Linked DNA regions of Bombyx mori. The protein of the gene in region 1 purifies or fractionates together with the protein of each later gene. This does not show direct contact. Links are inferred from orthologs where the notes say so. Each region holds a gene or a part of one and is shown in the gene's direction. Other genes may lie near its edges.

The links.
Region 2: the proteins of U4/U6 small nuclear ribonucleoprotein Prp4 (region 1) and RpL7Ae purify together in Homo sapiens (affinity purification with mass spectrometry; 4 studies listed by BioGRID and IntAct, counting the BioPlex papers as one, with this or other methods). This does not show direct contact. The link is inferred for Bombyx mori from reciprocal best matches to the Homo sapiens genes PRPF4 and SNU13.
Region 3: the proteins of U4/U6 small nuclear ribonucleoprotein Prp4 (region 1) and CD2 antigen cytoplasmic tail-binding protein 2 homolog purify together in Homo sapiens (affinity purification with mass spectrometry; 3 studies listed by BioGRID and IntAct, with this or other methods). This does not show direct contact. The link is inferred for Bombyx mori from reciprocal best matches to the Homo sapiens genes PRPF4 and CD2BP2.
Region 4: the proteins of U4/U6 small nuclear ribonucleoprotein Prp4 (region 1) and squamous cell carcinoma antigen recognized by T-cells 3 purify together in Homo sapiens (affinity purification with mass spectrometry; 5 studies listed by BioGRID and IntAct, counting the BioPlex papers as one, with this or other methods). This does not show direct contact. The link is inferred for Bombyx mori from reciprocal best matches to the Homo sapiens genes PRPF4 and SART3.
Region 5: the proteins of U4/U6 small nuclear ribonucleoprotein Prp4 (region 1) and gephyrin purify together in Homo sapiens (affinity purification with mass spectrometry; 3 studies listed by BioGRID and IntAct, counting the BioPlex papers as one, with this or other methods). This does not show direct contact. The link is inferred for Bombyx mori from reciprocal best matches to the Homo sapiens genes PRPF4 and GPHN.
Region 6: the proteins of U4/U6 small nuclear ribonucleoprotein Prp4 (region 1) and serine/threonine-protein kinase PRP4 homolog purify together in Homo sapiens (affinity purification with mass spectrometry; 3 studies listed by BioGRID and IntAct, with this or other methods). This does not show direct contact. The link is inferred for Bombyx mori from reciprocal best matches to the Homo sapiens genes PRPF4 and PRP4K.

The regions. Positions count from the first base shown.
Region 1 is NC_085130.1:18,540,135-18,543,634, reverse strand, and holds part of U4/U6 small nuclear ribonucleoprotein Prp4, read left to right. Parts: intron 1-630; coding exon 631-789; intron 790-1,844; exon of another isoform or gene 1,845-2,473; coding exon 2,474-2,579; exon of another isoform or gene 2,580-3,076; coding exon 3,077-3,147; exon of another isoform or gene 3,148-3,500. UniProt on the Homo sapiens protein: Plays a role in pre-mRNA splicing as component of the U4/U6-U5 tri-snRNP complex that is involved in spliceosome assembly, and as component of the precatalytic spliceosome (spliceosome B complex).
Region 2 is NC_085117.1:6,325,518-6,328,117, forward strand, and holds RpL7Ae (ribosomal protein L7Ae), read left to right. Parts: upstream 1-1,226; 5' UTR 1,227-1,431; coding exon 1,432-1,434; intron 1,435-1,654; coding exon 1,655-2,044; 3' UTR 2,045-2,100; downstream 2,101-2,600.
Region 3 is NC_085111.1:10,749,928-10,753,951, reverse strand, and holds the start of CD2 antigen cytoplasmic tail-binding protein 2 homolog, read left to right. Parts: upstream 1-1,224; 5' UTR 1,225-2,676; intron 2,677-3,000; 5' UTR 3,001-3,134; intron 3,135-3,360; exon of another isoform or gene 3,361-3,606; intron 3,607-3,731; 5' UTR 3,732-3,744; coding exon 3,745-3,927; intron 3,928-4,024. UniProt on the Homo sapiens protein: Involved in pre-mRNA splicing as component of the U5 snRNP complex that is involved in spliceosome assembly.
Region 4 is NC_085122.1:6,475,722-6,480,021, reverse strand, and holds the start of squamous cell carcinoma antigen recognized by T-cells 3, read left to right. Parts: upstream 1-1,500; 5' UTR 1,501-1,614; coding exon 1,615-1,716; intron 1,717-3,332; coding exon 3,333-3,445; intron 3,446-3,666; coding exon 3,667-3,833; intron 3,834-4,300. UniProt on the Homo sapiens protein: U6 snRNP-binding protein that functions as a recycling factor of the splicing machinery. Promotes the initial reassembly of U4 and U6 snRNPs following their ejection from the spliceosome during its maturation.
Region 5 is NC_085122.1:5,872,652-5,876,151, forward strand, and holds the end of gephyrin, read left to right. Parts: intron 1-337; coding exon 338-449; intron 450-778; coding exon 779-984; intron 985-1,376; coding exon 1,377-1,517; 3' UTR 1,518-3,246; downstream 3,247-3,500. UniProt on the Homo sapiens protein: Microtubule-associated protein involved in membrane protein-cytoskeleton interactions. It is thought to anchor the inhibitory glycine receptor (GLYR) to subsynaptic microtubules.
Region 6 is NC_085107.1:3,222,865-3,226,364, reverse strand, and holds part of serine/threonine-protein kinase PRP4 homolog, read left to right. Parts: intron 1-1,525; 5' UTR 1,526-1,564; coding exon 1,565-1,575; intron 1,576-2,684; coding exon 2,685-3,500. UniProt on the Homo sapiens protein: Serine/threonine kinase involved in spliceosomal assembly as well as mitosis and signaling regulation. Connects chromatin mediated regulation of transcription and pre-mRNA splicing.

The DNA.
Region 1 (3,500 bases):
AATTTGTTTATCTCGATTTGCTAATGGAGTTTCTGGACTGTAATGGTATAATGGGGGTGTCATGGGTAATCTGAAGCAACTGACTGGTTTTCTGGGGCAGCTGGGTTAGTGCTCAGGAGGTCTCTGCTGATCGCAAGCAAAAAAGACGCAATTTCCTGATGTTGAATTGTGAATAAATTCCTATTCACCATATCATGGTGATCAGCATTTGGTAATAAAGTGTAATACTAAAACAAATTGATAAATATAAAAATGAATTAATTGTTGAATTTTAAAGATTTAACAAAGCTTTTCTAGTCTTCATTTGGCTTTATATTTTTTTATTGCTTAGATGGGTGGACGAGCTCACAGCCCACCTGGTGTTAAGTGTTTACTGGAGCCCATAGACATCCACAACGTAAATGTCGCCACCCACCTTGAGATATAAGTTCTAAGGTCTCAGTATAGTTACAACGGCTGCCCCGCCCTTCAAACCGAAACGCTTTACTGCTTCACGACAGAAATAGGCAGGGCGGTGGTACCTACCCGCGCGGACTCACAAGAGGTCCTACCACCAGTAATTACGCAAATTATAATTTTGCGGGTTTTATTTTTATTACACGAATTTAATTATTTCATTTTTATTTTCAGTCTCGGCGAAGATGCTATCAATAAGAAGCTAGAAGAGGAAGAAGCACGCCTGGAAAGAGACAGAGGTAGAGAAGGTACCTGGTACCACGAAGGTCCCCCGACCTTGAGGCAAGCGAGGATTTGGATAGCCAGGTACTCCCTGCCTAACGCCAAAAAAAGGTCAGTTTCAATTAATTCGACTCTACCCGACTGTGATATCTTGGCTGTGTCATCATTTTCATTACTTCCGGAACCTCCTTGCTGTCCCCTCTAAGGTTAGGTAACGAAGGGTAAAAGGCTGTTTGGTTCAGGCGACATTTTTGCAATATTACAGGAGATCTATTTAAAGTTTTAAAAATTTGCCAAAATAATATTTTAACAAAACAAACTTCTTCAGCTATTCGAATGGAGTAAACTTAATCTATATATTAATACGTGAAGCAAAAACTTTGTATCCCTTTTTACGAAAAATTTGGGGATGGAGGAGCATGAAATTTCTCACACTTATAGAGAATTTAGAGAAGGAGTGCACAATGCTAATATTTTTTTTAAATACTGCATAAAAGAAAACATTACATACCCTACATACCATGTATTTGACGCACACACGCATGCATACTATTTATTGTCAAACTTTTGTTCTTGACGTCTGTTGTCAAATTGAGATTAAATATTGTTTGTCTTTATTAATATTTTTTATAGTGTAGTCTTGGCGAAATTTGTGATTATAGAAGTATAAAATACAATCATAATAGTATACAAACTTATAAATTCAATTAATTATAGTCGAATTTCGACTACTGGGTGACCGCTAGTTCAATTAAAAATATCGAAATGTTGATGCTGATTCGAAATATAAAACGGACCTTTGATTACAAAGATAAATGTCTCTTAAACTAAAGAGCCTTACACCACTCGATATATATAGAAATATTGTGGATTCATTCTGGTGTCTTAAATTATGATGGGGGGTGCGCAGGGCCGGATTTAAACTTAATGCCGCGCTCCTGGTTATCGGAAAAAAAATCCGCCCTAATACTGGAATTTTACTTAAACTTATAGTTAATATATTTTATTTAAAAAAATTAAAATATCTAATTTATTGCAGAAACTTTATCATATTTTATGTCATATATTCCAAAAATGTAAATAAATATTTTTGTTTTTTTTTCTAACAATCTTAAATTTTGCACTAAAGGGTGACTAATAATAATAATATAATTAGAAATCACGACTCAAAATATTAAAAAAATATAATTAGAACGATACAAAATACAATTTTCAACAATTATTGATTTTAAATACTAATGACAAAATGTGGGTAACTAAGTTGACACGCGAATGTACAACGTCCGTCTATCCCTGGTGCTGAGATCAGAAAGAGGCCGTGAACGAGGCAATATGTTAGTGGTGTCCTCAACTCCCCTCTTCAACTCCGACCAGTCTGAAGTCGCTGCTGTATTACGTCAGCAGGCCACGCCCACTTCCGTCTTCTTTCCTTAGAATATATTACATAAAAAAAAAACTAATTAAATTTCTTTAATTACAGAAAATAGAAGATCGATTATTATTAAAAAATCTCAAGGAAATAAATTGATTAAATCAATTTTGATTATTAATTTTTACCAAAAGTGCCAAAGTTATAATTCTATTCATGAGTGAATTGAATTTCTTGAATTATCAATAAAAAAGAAAATTATTAATTAATTATATTGAGCAATCTCGACAAGAAAAAAAAATTTTTTTCACTTTCAAAAATTACCACCCTGGGCACTTTCCCCGATCGCCCCTAGTGTAAATCCACCACCACTGGGGGGCGCGACATGTCTATGGACTCGTGTAAGTTACTCGATTATTGTTACAGGCTAAACAAAGCCCGCGAGGAACTCAAGTTGGCTGGCAGTGTGCGCGCCGCCGCTAAGCAGGAGTCGCAACGGAAGGCGTCTGCCTTTAGCATTTACTGCAGCCAGGTGAGGCCCAGGTCGTGGGGGATAGAGGGTACCTAAGTTCCTGCTACACCCCCCCCCACTGTCTCCCTCCCAAGTGAACGCACTTCGTTGGACGGTCGTCGCTGTGGACCCTCAGAAGTTGCAGTGGTGGGGGCCAGTGGGGTGGGTAATATAGAACTAGGATCAAAATGGCCGACTATGACCCTGTGATGTTACGTATCCTAGTAAATTAGCGAAACGCATTACTGCTTCACGGCAGAAATAGGCAAGGTGGTGGTACCTACCCGCGCGGACTCACAAGAGGTCCTACCGCCATTCCTTAGGAACCATGGTGCTGCAACGGATATCCTGCAAAAACGGAACGTCTTAGTTTTTACCGGCTAGGCCCACGTGATGTCGCAGTCACAAGGTTCTCGTGTCAGGGCTGTCTCGTTCCAAACCTGAGCACGTGGCCACCTCGTGGCGGCCCTAAGCGTGCGGGGCAGCTCAGCACATAAATCTGTGGTGCTCTTCATCAGATCGGGGACACGAGGCCGCTGAGCTTCTGCAGGTTCAGCCAGGACAGCAAGATGCTGATCACTTCGAGCTGGTGAGGGTCTTTGCCGATATTTTTCTTCTTTTTTTTTACCTAAGCTGATAGATAGCCTTGAGAGGCTATTTCAGCGTAACTTTAATCAAATCAAATCTACCGCCAATTCATAAAAAGTAGTCCCCGTCTTGAGAAGAACTGGCAAGAAACTCAGCGGGCATGCATTTTTTTTTTTTTTTTAAACTAGTAGGTGAGCTCACGGAGCTCAAACCTGACGACGTTGCTAACACGAACCCCAGCAAGAGCCGTGCTTCGCAGAATCTACCACCGGATCGGAAACGCATCAATGCAAACGCAAAATGTATTAATTGTTAACTAATTCTTCTTCTTTGTCTCCATCTTATCCCCCTAGG
Region 2 (2,600 bases), on another chromosome or scaffold:
GGATGACTTGTTCAAAATCTTCTGGAAAAAATGGATGATTAGACACCAACTCTCTACTGGTGATAGACTTTTATTTCGTGTTTAAAGTTGGCATTAAAATTGTGATTTCTATTTATTGTATTTGATCTATTCGCTGGTAGCTTCTATGGCTTCGGTGCCCACCTAAAGACAGGTGAGTTCTGAGTCATTTTAGTCATCTCTTCAGTGTCCACTTCAGTTTTGGTGATAACGCGTATTGTGAACCCAAAGAGTATCAGCTTATCAACACTACTGGTAGTAGAGCCTCTTGTGAGTCCGCACGGGTAGGTACAATCACCCTGCCTATTTTTGCTGTGAAGCAGTAATGCGTTTCGGTTTGAAGGGTGGGGCAGCCGTTGTAACTATTCTGAGACCTTAGAACTTATATCTCAAGGTGGGAGGCGCATTTACGTTGTCGATGTCTATGGGCTCCGGTAACCATTTAATACCAGGTGGGCTGTGAGCTCGTCCACCTATATAAGCCTTAAAAAAAAACCCAGTCAAACCCTTAGCAGTAAAAAGTTCGTTAAATACGAACAAACTTTGGCGGGAACGCGAGGAGTGTAGTTGTGTGAGTTGTTTTATTTTGTTAATTTAGTGTTTCTTTAGGTTTCATTGTGTATTAACAGTACTTTATTAGCAGTTTAATATCTGTAAAAGTAGACAACATGTGAGAAAATTAAATAAAGCCGTTGGACGTAGCTTCTCGTGATCTTCCAGAAAGTTCCCTGAAATAGTCTCAGTAAATAACCACTATTTTACTAGGACTAAATTTCATCCGATATAATCTCGTTTCGTTTAATTACTTCCCAATTGATTAATGTCAAATTAATCAACTTCATTTTATTTCGCTCCATATTATTGTTCTTTAAACTAATTTCATTTAAATACAGCATTTACAAAAGATTAGTCTGTAGGATGTGATACCTTCGCCTTTTTAGTGGGAGAAACAGAACTAAGTACTACATTACTGTACCTATACGAAAAGTCATAAAATTGAAATTTGAAAAAAAACTCGTAATTGAACTATTTAGTAAGTCGTTATAAATATTTTGTTTTTTTTTTCAAACGTTGGGTAAATTATTCTGCACCATACATTTAATTTTACATAAAAAATGACTACCCTATACTATTAAAATGTAAAGCTGTATAATTCATGTTGCCTCTGATTATTAAAATGAAAAAAAATATAACCAAAAAAACAAATGTCAAAGAAGCCACAACCCGCGTGTCTTTGAAACAACAGTATCAGAATCGTTAATAATATTTATACACAAAATATTTGTGATTTAAGTGTAGAATTGTGGCAAATACCTAAATTTTCTCTCCCTTACGTGAAGATTATTTCCTCAGTGAAGCGAGAGATCGCCGAGAGGTTGAGTTTTATTAATTCAACACCGCGGCATTGTAAACATGGTAAGTTGCACGTGTTAGCGATCTTCTTGGTATTAATTTACCTATAATAAGTCAGTTTTTTCATTAATCAGTTTCAAATTGAAACTTTCAATCATGTGATATCCAAAATACGGTTGCAATTTGAACTCATGTGAATATTTGAGGTTATCTTGAGATTGATTACATTCTAACTACCTAGAACATCTAAACTGTTCATAACTTTAATAATCTACTTTCACAGGCTGAAACCGAAGCTGCAGTGAACCCCAAGGCATACCCATTGGCGGATGCCGCCTTAACCGCTAAAATCCTGAACTTGGTGCAACAAGCTACCAATTACAAGCAACTTCGTAAAGGCGCGAACGAGGCCACAAAGACCCTTAATCGTGGTCTATCTGAGCTCATCATAATGGCAGCAGATGCCGAACCTCTCGAAATTGTTCTTCACATTCCAATTCTGTGCGAAGATAAGAATGTGCCATATGTGTTTGTTAGGTCTAAGCAAGCACTCGGTCGTGCTTGCGGTGTTTCCAGACCCATCATATCTTGCTCGATAACCATCAATGAGGGCTCACAACTAAAGCCTCAGATCCAAACTATTCAGCAAGAAATCGAAAGACTATTAGTTTAAGTATAAATAGACGTGTAAGGAAATTATTTTGTGTCGAATACAATATTTTAATAAAATAACGTATTTTATTTATTGATGCTTTTAGGAACAAAAAGGACCAGGATCTTTTGCTATTTAAACATAAAAAGTAGAACTTTACAATTATGAACTTTTACAATTGTGGCATCCTCCCTGATAATCTTTTCATCAACAAGTGCTTGTGTCTATTCAAACAGTACAGTGAAATGGTTTTTCAGTTCGATTTGAAGTATAGGACAGCTGAATTACAATGTTATCTACTGAGAATTTCACGTGATATAGGTGATGACAATCACTATGTGGTGTAAATACACTGTTAACTGAACAAATAAGGCACAAGTCGTCTAAAAAGAAGCTACATTTGTTTATAAAAAAATGGAGGTCTGCTTTGTTTCCGCTATATAAGTACAAATATTCTTTAGCAGTAGCAATTTTTTTGTTCACATGCCTTTGTCAATAAGCAAAGATATAGATTTTTCCGCTTTCTATTGAAGTTAAATTCTTAATCGCAAATCGCATAAAGCCTTAAATAAAACCA
Region 3 (4,024 bases), on another chromosome or scaffold:
AGCGATCCTATACTCCCCCCAATTTATTTGGATGGGACTCAAATAACTCTAACCGATTCAGTTAAAAACCTGGGTGTATGGATCGACATCTTTCGTGGAGTTCTCACGTTGCTGAGATTAGTAGGAAGGTGCACTTCGCCTTGCACTCGTTGAGATGTCTGCAGGGCTTCTTACCTCAGCATACAAAAATATCTCTCGTCCAAGCTCTCATTCTACCCATAATTGATTACGCCGATGCCTGCTACTTGGATGCCACTGAGGAGCTCTCAAACAAGCTTGAGAGGATGCAAAATCTATGTATCCGTTTTATATACAATCTCAGAAAATTCGATCATGTTTCACATTTTCGCAAAGAACTTAAATGGCTCCCTATACGCCTTCGTAGGAATACTCGAATATTATGTCTCCTATTCAATATCCTACATAAGCCCACTTCTCCCTTATATTTACGTGAGCGATTCTCTTTCATTCGTTCTCCTGATGCTCCCTGCAGGTCCAACCAACGTTCTGTTTTGTTATTCCCTTCTCACAAAACCAATTTCTATTCTCACTCCTTTACTGTGCACGCGGTCAGACTGTGGAATTCGTTGCCGGCTGACATCCGAGTTTGCAAGTCTGTTTCTGTTTTTAAATACAAGGTCAAACAATTTTATCTCTCATCAACCGAGTGATCATGGTTCTATACTCTTCGTATATACGAGTGTTACTGTGACTTATAATATTTTGTACTCAAGTTTAACAATATTTGGTATGTGTAAGTGCATTACTATAATTCTCATGTTGTATTTGTTGTTTTAGTTATGTATTATTTGTTCTACACACACTTATCACTTTTTATTATTATTCTCATTATCCTCTCGCAGGTTTGCTGGAAGAGATTTCTTAAAGAAATAAGCAGTGCCTTTGTACATAATTTTCCTATTACTCTGTACTATGTCTTTTTTTCTGTGTGTACATAAATAAATAAAATAAATAAATAAGTTATTCCTTCACCGTGGAAGTCAATCCAGAATATTAGTTGAGTATGTATTTCATTAGAAAAATTGGTACCCACCTGAGATTCGAACACCGATGCATCACTCAACACGAATGCACCGAACGTCTTATCCTTTAGGCCCCGACGACTTTTTTATCAAGGTATGTTGCTTAACACTCAGCTAAGCAGTTTCCCTGGCGAAAGTCGACGAAATGCGGTTTGAAGTGCTTGATCTTTTTTTTTGGACTGGGGGCCGAACTTTCTAGGAATACCCCGCCCCTAGGGGCGCATGGGGTATGGGAGTGAACCGCGGGCCTTCTTTTTGTTTTTTTTTAACGCTGTAGAATCCGTACGGTTACCCGGTTGAGGGGGCTTACTGACCGCTACGACTCCACGAAACCCACAATACCGCGCCGAAAGTCCGCCTTCGCCGGTACCGCGGGCCTAAAGGATAGAATTTAGGGCCATACCCACTACACAACTCCCCTGCACTCTCGCCCAATCGTCTGATACCCTTCCAGGTCAGAACCCGGGTGAGGTAAAGGGGTTATCGCGGTCAACACTACAGACAGCGCAGCTCCCCCGAGGACGTCCGGTCGACGGAGCCTTTGAGACGGAATGCTCTACAGCCGTCAGCCGTCTGGGTACGATAGCCCGTCAGGCCACCCACACAGTGCGACTGGAGTCCCGGAATACCCCGCTGGACTAGAACCAGGCTGTCGGGTCGGGATGCGATACATCGCCAACCGGTTGCTCTTTTTTCACGTTGATTGTGTAATTCTTCGGTAGCGCACTACAGTGCTTCAGCTGAAGCAACATCTATTTTTTTCTAATCCAAAAGTGTGACAGTTTTTTTTCGCAAAATAACTCCCGAGTGCTATTTAAACAGTTTGTACAGACAGTTGTTTGTTTGTTAAATAAATACATATACATAAATATATACATATAAAAATGTGTATATATAAATAAATATCAATTAGATGACTCTGCTAACTCTTAGCAGAGTCATCTAATTGATTCTAAGTACTCGAAACCTTGTCTTAAACTCTGGCCGACCTTATTTTAAGTGGGAGCGCATTCCATAGAAGAATAGATTGAATAGTGAAGGAAGAATGTAAAAAGTCCGAACTACCTGCGAACTAACAGCGAAGAAGAAGATTGTGAGATGAACGAAGATTTTGGCTGTAGTCAAACCCTAAGTATTCAGGTGGATTTGGGAAGTGCAACAAAGAGTAAAGAGTACTGAGAGCACGCAAGCTACGGCGTTGTCGAATGGGGAGCAATTTGAGTTGGGAGCGATGAGAAGATACATGATCGTATTTCCGAAGATTATAAATAAATCGAATGCAGTTATTGAGAAGCCGGTTAAGTTTATTGAGTAGATCTGCATTCAGGTCAAAGTAGCACACATCACCATAGTCGATCATGGGGAAGATCAAAGTTTAAACGAGCATTGTCTCTTGGTTTCGGGCGGAAGGATATTGTTCAGGCGGTAAAGCATACGGAGTGTAAGTGTAACTCACTGACACACGGAGATGACCTGGGCTCGCCAACTCAGGCTGGAGTCAATAAGTAGGCCTAGGTCCTTTACAACCGAACACCAGTTGATGGTTAAGCCAGCATATATTATTTGATAATAATATAAGACGACTGTGATATAAAAACTTTATTTAGTGTTTGAGCCATCATATATATTAACGGTAAGTCTCAATTGTTATTGGTTTTAATGTTTTTTGATAATTTAAAAATACATATTAAAATTGTTATGTTTGGGGTTAATGGGGTCACCTGAGCTACAAATAACAATGAAAGGGAGGTCAATTGGGACGACAATAAGTTGAATGGGAACGACTTAAGTATAAATACGTACAGGATTGTAGGGTTGTCTATGTAGTTATAACAATCTTTTTTAAACGTGTTGGTAAGAATCTCATTTATTCATGATGTTTTTGTCTAAAACTTTTATTTAATTATTAGTGCAATTATATTTATATTATCAGTTACGTATTGTTTTCTATTTTTAGATATGCCTCGCGTGTATGTATCAAAGAGTGCAAGCTTTATAAGAGATATGATCCCTTAATATTAAAAACAGCAATAGAAGACTATGAATTTGGGAATAAGTCTTTAGTTGAAATAGCTAAGCAATTTAATATAAGTAAGTCGGTTTTGCACAGATATATAACAATTAAATCTCAAAGTGGACAAAAATGTCTAAGTAAAGAAGAAGAAAAATACAGTTACACACATATTAAACAGTTAATAAACCACCATTATTACATATCTAAACCCGAAGAAACACTAAATAGACAAAATAAAACAAATCACACAACTTCACCCCTCGCGTTCCCGCCAAAAAGTCCTAAAACCAAACATCGTAGTCATAGACATAGATTATACACTTAAATATTCGAGTCATTGATACACATAATAAAATTAATAATTGAGATTTGAGACCATACCTTGATAGACATAAAAACATTGATTTCATTGATAGCGTACCTAACACACGGCAACAGACACACAATCACAATTAAGAAGAGGTACCAACCGTGTACCAACCTAGTTGAATCTGATTCACTCAATTTGAGTTCACCTATTCAAGAAAAGGCGCCCAAAATATTATTAGGGTGAGGATGAGTAAAACTTTGCTTAGTGTTCAATGATAATTTAGGAATGTGCCTATAGTTTAAAGTCTTTGTTAGATAAACCCAAATATTTTTTAATGTTTTTAATTAAAATTTGTTCCTTTTAGTTACTTTACCAAAATGTCAAAGCGTCCCGCTTCCGAAGCATTAATAGACGAAGTAAAAAAGGCCACGAAGGATGGCAAGAAACATTCCTTGGATTCCGACGAAGAAGATAGTGGTGCTGAAGAAGAGAAGAATAATGTTATGAACTCCAATGATATTGAAGGTGAAGAGGAAGGAACTGGTGGAATGGAAGGTGAAGTGAGTAGAATAAGTCAAAAACCTAATCAGAATACTCAAATTGTTGTGAGAATTAAAAAATGTTTCTTTTTCCAAACAATACTTAAAATGCTTTTGA
Region 4 (4,300 bases), on another chromosome or scaffold:
ACGCATCGCCAAAGAGGAAAGTAACTATATTATAAGTGTCCGCTGAAAGAGAGAAAATTGAGGCGGCGCTATAGTAGCAAGTGGAAAGATTAAAAAAACTGCATCATAAACTATCGCTACCACTTTCACTTACGTAACTTGCGTTCCGTCATTTCCACCTGCGAGATGGTGGACTCAATAATCTGTGGATGAACTTACAAAAGTCAATCGTGTGCCCAGCGACACGGTATAAGTAACGGTCTTTTGGGCTCTTCAAGCACCGGGCATCGTCCTCGTCTTGGTTCATGGCAGACCACTGAGTATCCCCCCGGATCATCACAATGGGTTGCAATTTCGGTCCAGTGGTAAATTCTGCGAAGCAAGCACTGCTTCTACTAGGGCTGGCGTTGACAAATTCTCTCAGGCTGAGCCCGTGAGCTTACCAACCAGTCCATGCGAAGCTAAATATAGGCCCGCATTTTTTTTTTACCTGTGCTGATAAACTTGAGAGGCTATTTCAGCTTCGCCCTAACATGTAGGTGAGCTCATGGGGCTCAAACCTGACGACGTTGCTAACATGGATCCTAGCAAGAGCCGTGCTTCGCAGAATCTACCACTGGATCTGAAACGCGGCCCACTGAGAAGATCCGGCGAGAAACTCAGTGGGCTGTGTCTGTGGGTTAATTTACTCGCCGAGCCCTTCGTCGCAAACTACGGGTTTGGCGAGGACGGTGACCGGTGCTTGAGGTACCTAAAAGCATCGTTAGTGGATGGGGAGGATCCGTAATGGTGTGTTTTGGGCGACGTCGACTGCTTTCCATTCGGTTCGCAGGATCGGGAATGGACTTTAGCCCCGTAGGCCACCAACCCGGTATATATATCTTATCTATGCCACTAGCAAATAGGTAGGGAAAAAAAAAGAAGATCCAAGTAGCTGTGACTCATTACCACCTGCGATAATTATAAGGTGAGACGCCTTCTACCACATTTACAGGCAACAGTATAGCCAAGGTAAGCATTGGAGTTTTGAGATTTTATTAATTTAGAGATTCTTTAGATCAGATTCTTCAGATAAACCTCAGGTCTGACCATTGGTGGTTTGTTCACTGTCTAATATTTCTAAAAGTCCACAAATATTGGAAAAAGGAACAAAATCTCCCAAATATTTTCTAAAAAGTTAATCCAATTTTCAATAATTTTCACTATTTTTCTGTAAGTATGTTTAAGTTCACAATTTGTTAATTAACCCGTTTTTCTTAAATTGCATGATAAGTAAATTCGATAGCTTCTCGGGATCTTCCAAAAAGTCTACGTAAAAAATCATCATTTCACTGAGACTATATTTTATCGCATATCATGTCGTTTCATAATTTTATCACAATTGAGTAATGTCTCAAATTAATCAACTTAATTTCATTTCGTTCCTTTTAGTTTTTATAAAACAGAAAATACAAAAATTAGGTTGTATGGTCGGATTTCGTTGCCTTTCCAGTTAGAAAAATGGAACCACTACTTTATTTTGACAATTGACAAATACCTCCACAATCACATTCTGCCAATCGCCATTATTCGTTCGTTTGTGAATTTAACAAATACAAAACTACACAGTTATTGATTACTCTCGTGTGATAAACAATGGCGATAGTAGAAGACGAAATTCAGAACGGTTCTGAAGGGGAAAATGAAATTGAAGTTGTGGTTGAAGAAGATGATGGCGACCAGGATCCAGATTCTGATGTAAGCTATTCTGATTTTAATTTACAAAATGATACTTTGTCTGTATTTCAAGTTAATTAGCCGGTTTTCATTTTAATACATGTGATTCTACGTTTTACCAAAGCAAATTATAATTTGTAATTATTAACTCCATTTAAAAATACAAATTGAACCTAATTTTGAAATCATAATACAATGTATCATAATAGAATGTAAACATGTTTTGTATATTTGCTTTCTTTAGTATGTAGCTGTACAAACTTAACTATAAAAATATCTACCTTATTGTGACACCAATAGCATATGTAAAGGGAAGTTTAAACAAATAAAAAAAATGAAATTTTGGTTCATTGTTTTTTTTGTTTATATTTTTTTAGTTTTTTATTACACAGATAGGTGGACGAGCTCACTGCCCACCTAGTGTTAAGTGGTTACTGGAGCCCATAGATATCTACAACGTAAATGCGCCACCCACCTTGAGATATAAGTACTAAGGTCTCAGTTTAGTTCCAATGAATTGGAATGAAAACGTAAACTCTGCTAATAATTGTAGGCACAAATGTCTAGATGTAAATTAAGTTTTGGGTCAATTTAAAGATAATATAATATAAAAGTATTTTCTTCATTTTTCAAAGGTCATAGATATAACTAAAACTTCTTTTATGATTTAATCGAGCAATTTAATGTCTAAAGCTTAAACTCCACTGGCATTTTGCAAATTTCACTTTCAGCAACAGGATGGACTCAACATATGCACTGTTAATCCCTGTGTTTCTAAGATATTTGTCTTATTCCTATGCTTCAAATACAATTCAGTTACATTTTTCATGGACACACAAGATAAAATTTATCAATAAATAAAATGAGAAACGTATAACTATTAAACAATGTTAAAATATATATAGTAAAATAATTTTCTGTGCTTATAATATTGTTATTATAACCCCACAGTTGCTGTCAAGAGGGTTGGATGTCCAAAATAAAGTTTTAATATAATCTAGCCAGTTGCTTTACAGTCTTGAAAAAAACGTTTTATTGTTATAAAATTTGTAGTTAGCATACAGGGTTGGGATGACACGGTTGCCTTGAATGAAAACACAACCCTTACTAATTAAAAATAAAAACATAAGATTTTAACAAAATAAGGAAATGAGAAGGTATTCAAAGATAATATATTGTTTGTATATGGTCCTCAAGTAATTGATCTTTTTTCTCAAGCAGTGTCCGACTTAATCTCATTAATTGAGTTTGAAAACATTTCCCGGCAATGTTTTTTATTTGTGATCATAATTCCATCAAAATTGACCAGCATTTATTGTTGAAGCCACATATTAATAAATAGCAAGAATTTCGTTGTGCACCTAATACATAAGTTTCACAAAATTATAAAGTTTATTACTATCTTCTTAAATGTAATTTACTGAGCTCATTAAATTATAATTCAAGGAAGTGAATAATTGAGAATATGGTCATGTGTATAAATTATTGAAACATAATCGAGTGATACAAGAAAAACTATCTTAGTAACTAGTTATTTCAAACCTCCAAGGAGTGTGAATATTTATTATAACTTGTGCAATATCCAAGCAAAGTAAAAATTGAAAATGTTTACAATATTCAGAAATAATAAATTTTAGGATGAAATATTGGAGATGGGAGATTGGCAGAGGAAAGTGGCCGAATATGAACACAAAATCACATTACATCCTTTTAATTATGATGATCACATTGAATTGATCCAGACTTTGTGGTAATTATTATATTGAATTTCTCAAATAAGTTTTTTTTTTAATAATTTGTTCCTAAAATGTTTTGATCAGAAATTTTCCTTTAATCAAATTTAATATTACTTCATTTAGAGCGGGGAATCCCAAAGTGTTTCAAATCTTGTTTTTTTATTAAACATGTGAGTTAGAATTTTATAATTTATAGATATGTATTTGCCAAAAACAAAGCATATCAAATTTTCAGGCGTCTATCGGAACTGGGGCAATGGCGAACGGCGTTTGAAAGATTATGGGAGATGTCAGTTATAAAAGTTGATCATTGGCTCTTGTGGCTCCGAACAGAAGAGAATATTTCACAGTCTGAAGAACTAATTGCCAATTTATTCTATAAGGCAACCTGTGATTGCTACTGTGAGTACATTTAACTTCAGAACATTTAAATTCTAACTGCTTTAAAAACGAAATATTTCGGTGTTTTAGTTATTCTAGCTATTCAAGTACTTTTTCTACTTAACCAGACAAAGCTTACCTTACTGTGAGTGGTAACAATTGCTCATGGAAATCACCAATGCTGGGGCAGTGGCCTGGATCTGAATACTTACTTCACTGGTGGTAGGGTTCTGTGTAGAAGCCCGCCCGGGTTGGTACCACCGTCCTGTCTATTTCTGCCGCAAAACAGTAATACTGTGTTCCGGTCTGAAGGACAGGATAGCCGGTGTAACATACATAAGGCTGCCCATCCAGGCCAGGATAGGCAGCGCATCTGAGTCACTGATGTAGTTTGGATGTCTATGGGCGACGGTTATCATTTCCCATCAGATGAGCCGTAAGATCGTCCGCCTATCGAAAGTAATAAAAAAAAAAAAAAAAATCCTACT
Region 5 (3,500 bases), on another chromosome or scaffold:
TGACCTCCGATTCGAAATAAAAATTGTTTTGAATTTCTTGTTGTCATCCGTGCGTTCCAATACTTTCTATTCGATTGTGAAGAAACTCTGTACAATAGATTAGAAAAAAATCTAGAACCAATAAAGATAAGACTTTAACTGGTATATACCTACTTGCTGGATGACTTAGAGATTTTTTAGTGTTGGTGGTAGGGCTTCTTGTGAGCCTGCACGGGTAGGTACCACCACCCTGCCTGTTTCTGCCGGGAAGCAGTAAGCGTTTCAGTTTGAAGGACTAGCCGTGGTTACTATTAAATTGTTTAAATTTGTGTCGAATTGTTTTAAATTCTGACTTCAGGATTTCGGTGCAACACTTCACTATGGACGCGTTCGCATGAAGCCCGGCAAGCCGTCGACTTTTGCAACATGCCAGTTTGAAGGAAAAACTAAATTTATTTTTGCATTGCCTGGTAAAACATTTCTTTGTTATTTGTATTAATATTTATTAAATTATATAATATAGCAGATATATTGAACCAGCCATCCATTATATTTGCTGCAACGGAGACGGTTTGTTCTAATAGACATACTAGAAGAAGAAACAATAATATACAAAGTTAACACAGGCAACAAACACCAATCACGCAATCACTGTTCAACACTTATAGAACAGATCGTCTTAGACTAATAAAGTGCACTGGGAATTTCGGATTCCTTTTTGGAAGTTGCAAGAATCGGGTATTTAATACTCCGATATTTTAACGAGAAAAAATAATGTAATTTATTAATTGTTCGATAGGTAATCCAGTTTCTGCCTACGTTTGCTGTTTGCTGTTCGTGATCCGAGGTCTGCGCGTGTGCAGCGGCAAGAGGGGCTCGTGGCCCAGACTCCGCGCCAAGCTCGCGCACGGCGTCGCGCTCGACCCCCGCCCGGAGTACGCGCGGGCCGACATCGACGTGTCCCAGGACGACGACATGCCCACTGTGAAGTTGTTGGGCAACCAGGTAACTTTTTTTTTTTGGCCAGCCCATAGAGCCCTTGGATATCTACAATGTAAATGCCGCCACATGAGATATGAGTTATAGGGTCTCAGTATACTTACAAGGGCTGCCCCCCCCCCCCCCCCCCTTCAAATCGGATCGCATTACTGCTTCACCGCAGAAATAGGCATTATTATCCTATGCCATAGAAAGAGGCATAGGATAAAAATTACGGATTCCCTGATTTTGGTCTAGGCCCGAATTTTATAGTAAGCCAGGCTCACCGGTGGGCCGCACGGCGTTGAACGCATTAAAATTAAATTAACACAGTGAATCCGACAGGTAGTCGAAACTACTTCGTGTATGTGCAGGGAGGGCATAAATTTTAATATGAAGTTTATGTTTATGTCGTACAGTGCAGTAGTCGTCTGTTGAGCGCGTGCGGTGCGAGCGTGCTGGTGGAGTTGCCGGCCGCCTCCCCCGCGCACCCCCGGCTGCCGGCCGGCGCCATCGTGCCCGCGCTCGTCACCGGGACGCTACACAACAGCGCAGTCTAATCCCCTATTCAAATATAACTGGCACGTCCTACTAGGTATTCACATTTAAAAACACTTCTCTTTGTTTGCATGTTTTCTCTCTTTTCGATTCCATTGCTGCGTAGCATGTACGCAAAAATCACACGCGCGTCCGGCGTCCAGAAATGTATACGTTTCTACATCTGCGTGTCTATTCCTTACGCAGCATATTTACGTTTTAACTGACGTTGCTAAAACGCCCCACGCGCTGTCGGGTGTTTAATATAAACGAGGGGTTAACGACAACATCAAACTGTGACTTACATGCCGTTCTTCATATAAAGTGAAGCTAAGTAAAACATACCAAACGTTCCTGTGCGTAGCAATGGAACCGCAGATTTTAATCTCAAGGTGCAGTGTGCTTAGTGCGAGTTTTTTAACGTTCTCGATAGTGTAAAGGTTAACCCAATTTTGTATGCAGTTAGAACAGCGCCCCTAGCGGTAAACGTAGGCAAACGATTCCATTCCGTACAAATATAAGCTAACTTTTACGCTATCGAGAACGTTAAAAAACTCGCACTAAGCACACAGATCTACTTGCGTTTCTTTTTATCAAAACACACTAGATGTCATTTCATGTTTAAGTTTTACATAAGTTTTTAAAGCCATTCATTCTTAAGCAGAAGTAAACTGTGTAAATAGATTGACGTAATCTTCACTAAGTCGAACGCTTACGAAAGCCTTACATTGAGAATGCAGGCAATACCTTGTTGCATACTTACATGCGTATCGGTCACGATAATTAAAAGCAAATCTGTTAGTGTAAATTGAACATTTAAGATTAAACTATAACAGAAATTAAATTACATTTTGGATTATGAAGAGAACTACACGAATTAGTCTGTAAGAGCTACCTTAACGTTAGGTGAAATGTGAATTGTGCCAAAGTATATAAAACAACCTCAAATCTTGCTCAGTTTTATATTGTTTATAATTTTTAAATGTGTATGTTATCTTTTTATTTCTAATTGTGAAATCCCTATGAGGTCTCCTAGTTCTTTGTAAAGCTTGTTTTACCTAGTTAAAAATAGGAATCAAGTGATGATTGTGATAAATTATTTCCTTGAGTCTCGAATGCAATATTTGCATAGGTAATTGAAAGATCTTTTGCATACATTTTACATTTATTTTATTATTATCTAAATTAATTGTCAGAGGTACTCTGCTCTAAATTTAGAATTAAATAATTATACATAGTTTGTTTGGAGAGTATACTAACCAGAATTACATCGTTATATACTTTAAATAAATGAAAAGTAGGTTTTCAAAGATGCATTAAGAGTTGGTTCATCTAATTAGCGGTTTAGCATGGACAAACTAAAATATTATTATGGATTTAAAAAAAACATGTATTTTGGCCGAATTAAAGTGCAAATAATCATCTTCAAAATAGATCCTAATAAAACATTTCCTTCGAAATCATACCTCGAAAATTATCTCCATCCATGAAAATAGTTTCAATTTATTAGAAATTATTTAAATGTAACTAAATAAAAATAGTTTTATAAACAGAGTACCTATAAATGTATGAATATGTCAAATTGAAAAGGCTTAATCTTTTTTAGCCCAATTTGTTTAAGTGGGTGTAGAAATTTTCCTTAAGTTCCTTTTTGTTGTTTGTGAAATAAGTTCTTTGGTAGCAATTCTCATGTAGTAAAAAAAATCTCGAATATTTTGGTGATGGTTTGTTAAATAAAATTTGTTGTTTTAATCTGTTCTTTTTTTCACCTTATACCCAACATCTTTTTTTTTATTGCTTAGATGGGTGGACGAGCTCACAGCTCACCTGGTGTTAAGTGGTTACTGGAGCCCATAGACATCTACAACGTTAATGCGCCACCCACCTTGAGATATTAGTTCTAACTTCTTAGTATAGTTACAACGGCTACCCCACCCTTCAAACCGGAACGCATTACTGCTTCACGGCAGAAATAGGCGGAGTGGTGGTACCTACCCGTGTGGACT
Region 6 (3,500 bases), on another chromosome or scaffold:
CCCAGTACAAAACCTTAAGCCATTAGTGGTATGTTTATTGAAAAAATCCTTTAATTTTTCTCAACTTTTGAGAGAAGATGCTCCATTCCTTTCCCGCAAAGCGTATGATGATAGAAAATTGATAAGGTGCTTGTTAATATTGACATTATTTTACATTGATTTTTTATTTGTATTCTGTTGTCCATTATTCAGCTGTGTTTATGGTTATTACTACTTCTAATATATAAAATTCTCATGTCACGTGGTGCGTGATTGAACTTCTCCGCAACCGCTCGACCGATTTTCGTGAATCTTAGCGTGCATATCGGCCAGGGTGGAGAATCAAATAACATCTATTTTTCATCCCCCTAAATCTTAAGGGTCCACCCCTAAATTTTTTATTTTATTTTTTTGACAAAGATTTTTGTTTTTATTTTTTTATGATACAGCATACAAAAATACATACAACCCTAAATTTTCATCCCTCTATGATCAACCCTTATTTTTTATTTGTTAATTAAAAACTTAAATAAAAAAATTCATATTACTCTAATTTTCACTCTTATACGATCAACCCCTGTTTTTCCATCCCAATTTTTATTTTTTTTATTCTATGCACAGTTCCGCAATAAGGTTGCAAGATGGCAATCAAATATTATAATTGTAGTACGATAAATTCGTATTCAGAGTTTAGAATTTCAAGTTCCTTTAATTATGATTTTTTTTTAAATTCAATTTGATCTCCCGCCTTCGCCGGTCGATTACTGATCAACTATCAATCGATCAGTTATCCCCGCCAGGGGTTACCACTCATCCAGCACACATCACGTAGTAGGGATGAGGACAAAGCCGGTCTCCTGTCATACTCACTATACATTTTTCGGCCAGTTTTTTTTGGTTTTATTTGTGTATCTATCGTAGCAGTAACTGTTATACCTATTATTTTAATTTTTCTGTGCAACTCTCATGTTAATTTTACTGTCATCGTAAAATTATCATTAATTTCCAGTGCAATAATTATTTATTTACAATCTTATATATAAAATTCTCATGTCACAATGTTAGTTACCATATGCATGTTCAGTAGGTCTGAGAATCGGCTACTATCTATTTTTCATACCCATAAGTGATAAGGGTTGTCTACCCCTAACATTTATTTTTATTTTTGGACATTTTTTTTTGTTATAATGAGGCATTACCTAGGTATGTGGTTGAATGAGGTTTTGTTATTTTTATACTCCCTAATCGTTCACAGCGCTACAGGCCTCTTTCACTCATTTACCACATCCTTACACACTTACAATAAGATACTTTTTTTCTACACTATAATTTCCCTAGAAATCTTATATATGACAAAACAACGTTTTCCGGGTCAGCTACTAGTCAATAAAAATACAATTAAGCAACACATAGAACTTTTAGGCTTAACTTAAGGCCATCTTAATCCGCAGTTACTCTATCAGCATAAAATTATAAAAAGGATCAATAAATATTTTGTATATTGATTGAAGTGTTTCATAGTAATTTTATCTAAATTTTGTTGCAGAATACTGTGAACTTGAACAGTGACAGTGCCAGATTTAAAATGGGAAAAGAGTAAGTAAAACTAAATCGAAGGTAACTTTCACTATTTTCTATTATACAGACAAAATATAAATTCTCATAATTCAATCGTCGTCGTTAATTTAATCGTTGAAGTCGTCGTGGCCTAAAGGATAAGACGTCCGGTGCATTCGTATGTAGCGATGCACCGGTGTTCGAATCCCGCAGGCGGGTACCAATTTTTCTAATGACATACGTACTCAACAAATATTCACGATTGACTTCCACGGTGAAGGAATAACATCGTGTAATAAAAATCAGACCCGCAAAAATTATAATTTGCTTAATCACTGGTGGTAGGACCTCTTGGGAGTCCGCACGGGTAGGTACCACCACTCCGCCTATTTCCGCCGTGAAGCAGTAATGCGTTTCGGTTCGAAGGGTGGGGGTAGCCGTTGTAACTATACTGAGACCTTAGAACTTATATCTCGAGGTGGGTGGCGCATTTACGTTGTATATGTCTATGGGCTCCAGTAACCACTTAACACCAGGTGGGCTGTGAGCTCGTCTATCCAACAATGCAACAAAAAAAATCATATACATTTAATCAGAACATAAAAACATGAAAACAGAACAATGGGCAAGATTTCTTTTTTAACTGTTTAAAAAATATATTTTATATGCTAGAATCTCTAAGAATTTCAATTATTGTTCATTTAATTTCTTAAATATTCATACACATATATACACACATTATCGCCCTGAAATCTGTCATAGCGGATCATTACTCATTTTGTGGTCTATGTTTCGTAGGTAATTGTAGAAAGTTAATGTCATAATTGGCAATGTCAATCAAATGAACAATAAATAAACAAATAAAAAAATGCAAAGTCAAAATACAAAATCTGTTCCTTCATCAATATGAGCAGTTCCGAAATGAATATTAATATATCAATCGAGTTAATTAATACAAGTAATTTGGAAACCAGGTATATTGCGTTTTGAAGGAATTTTGTTGTATTTAACAATCACATATACTCCTTCAATACCGATTAATTCCTGTGATATTACAGAATTGTTGAATATGTTGTAAAAGGAACTAAAGAAGATAAAATACGACCGAAAGAGCTATTTGTAAGTACCACGTTTTATTTATTTCTCAGGTCTAAGTTAGATGACATAACTAATGGTGATAATTATGAAGAAGATGGAAAAAAGAAAAAGAAAAGCAAGAAACATAAAAAACACAAAAGACCGACTGCCGATGAAGAGGATTCTGTAAATTTACATAAAAAGAAAAAGAAATCTAAAAAGGTGAAACAACAGAGCCGAGAACCGGAGAGTGAAACTTCCTTATCTGATGTTGAAGATTTGATCAACAAATCCAAACGGTGTCAGTCGAAAACTGGCAACAACTCTGAATTACATTCTCCTTTGATAGATTCTATAAGTACAATACGTCGGGCTTCTCAAAATGGGGACACTAATTCCCATTATAAGAATCACAATAGAATAGTAGAAATCAAAGAGGACACGTTAGAAATAATATCATCAAATTCTGAAACAGAAAATTATCAGGAAGATTGTGCAAGTCCCGAACTAACAATGATCGAAGACGATCTTAATTTAGAAGAACTCATGAGACAAAAAGAACTATTACAAGCTAGACTTGTAGCATATTTTTCTGATAAAAGTGACGAAGAAAGTATTGACGCCAAAGATGACAAACCTGATGAAATTATTTGTATAAATGACGATGTGGAATCGCCCGAACCGAAAAAATCCAAGAAAGATCATAAACATAGGAGCAAACACAAATCAAGCAAGGACAAGATTTCAGAAAAACATAAACCTCGTCGGCAAGAAGAAGACTTACGTGATATCATTAACAGAGAAAGCAGAAGAGAAATGGAGAAGAAGAGAGAAATAGAAGATAAAGAATATCGTGACAAGAGAGAGAAAGAAAAGCGTAAACAAGA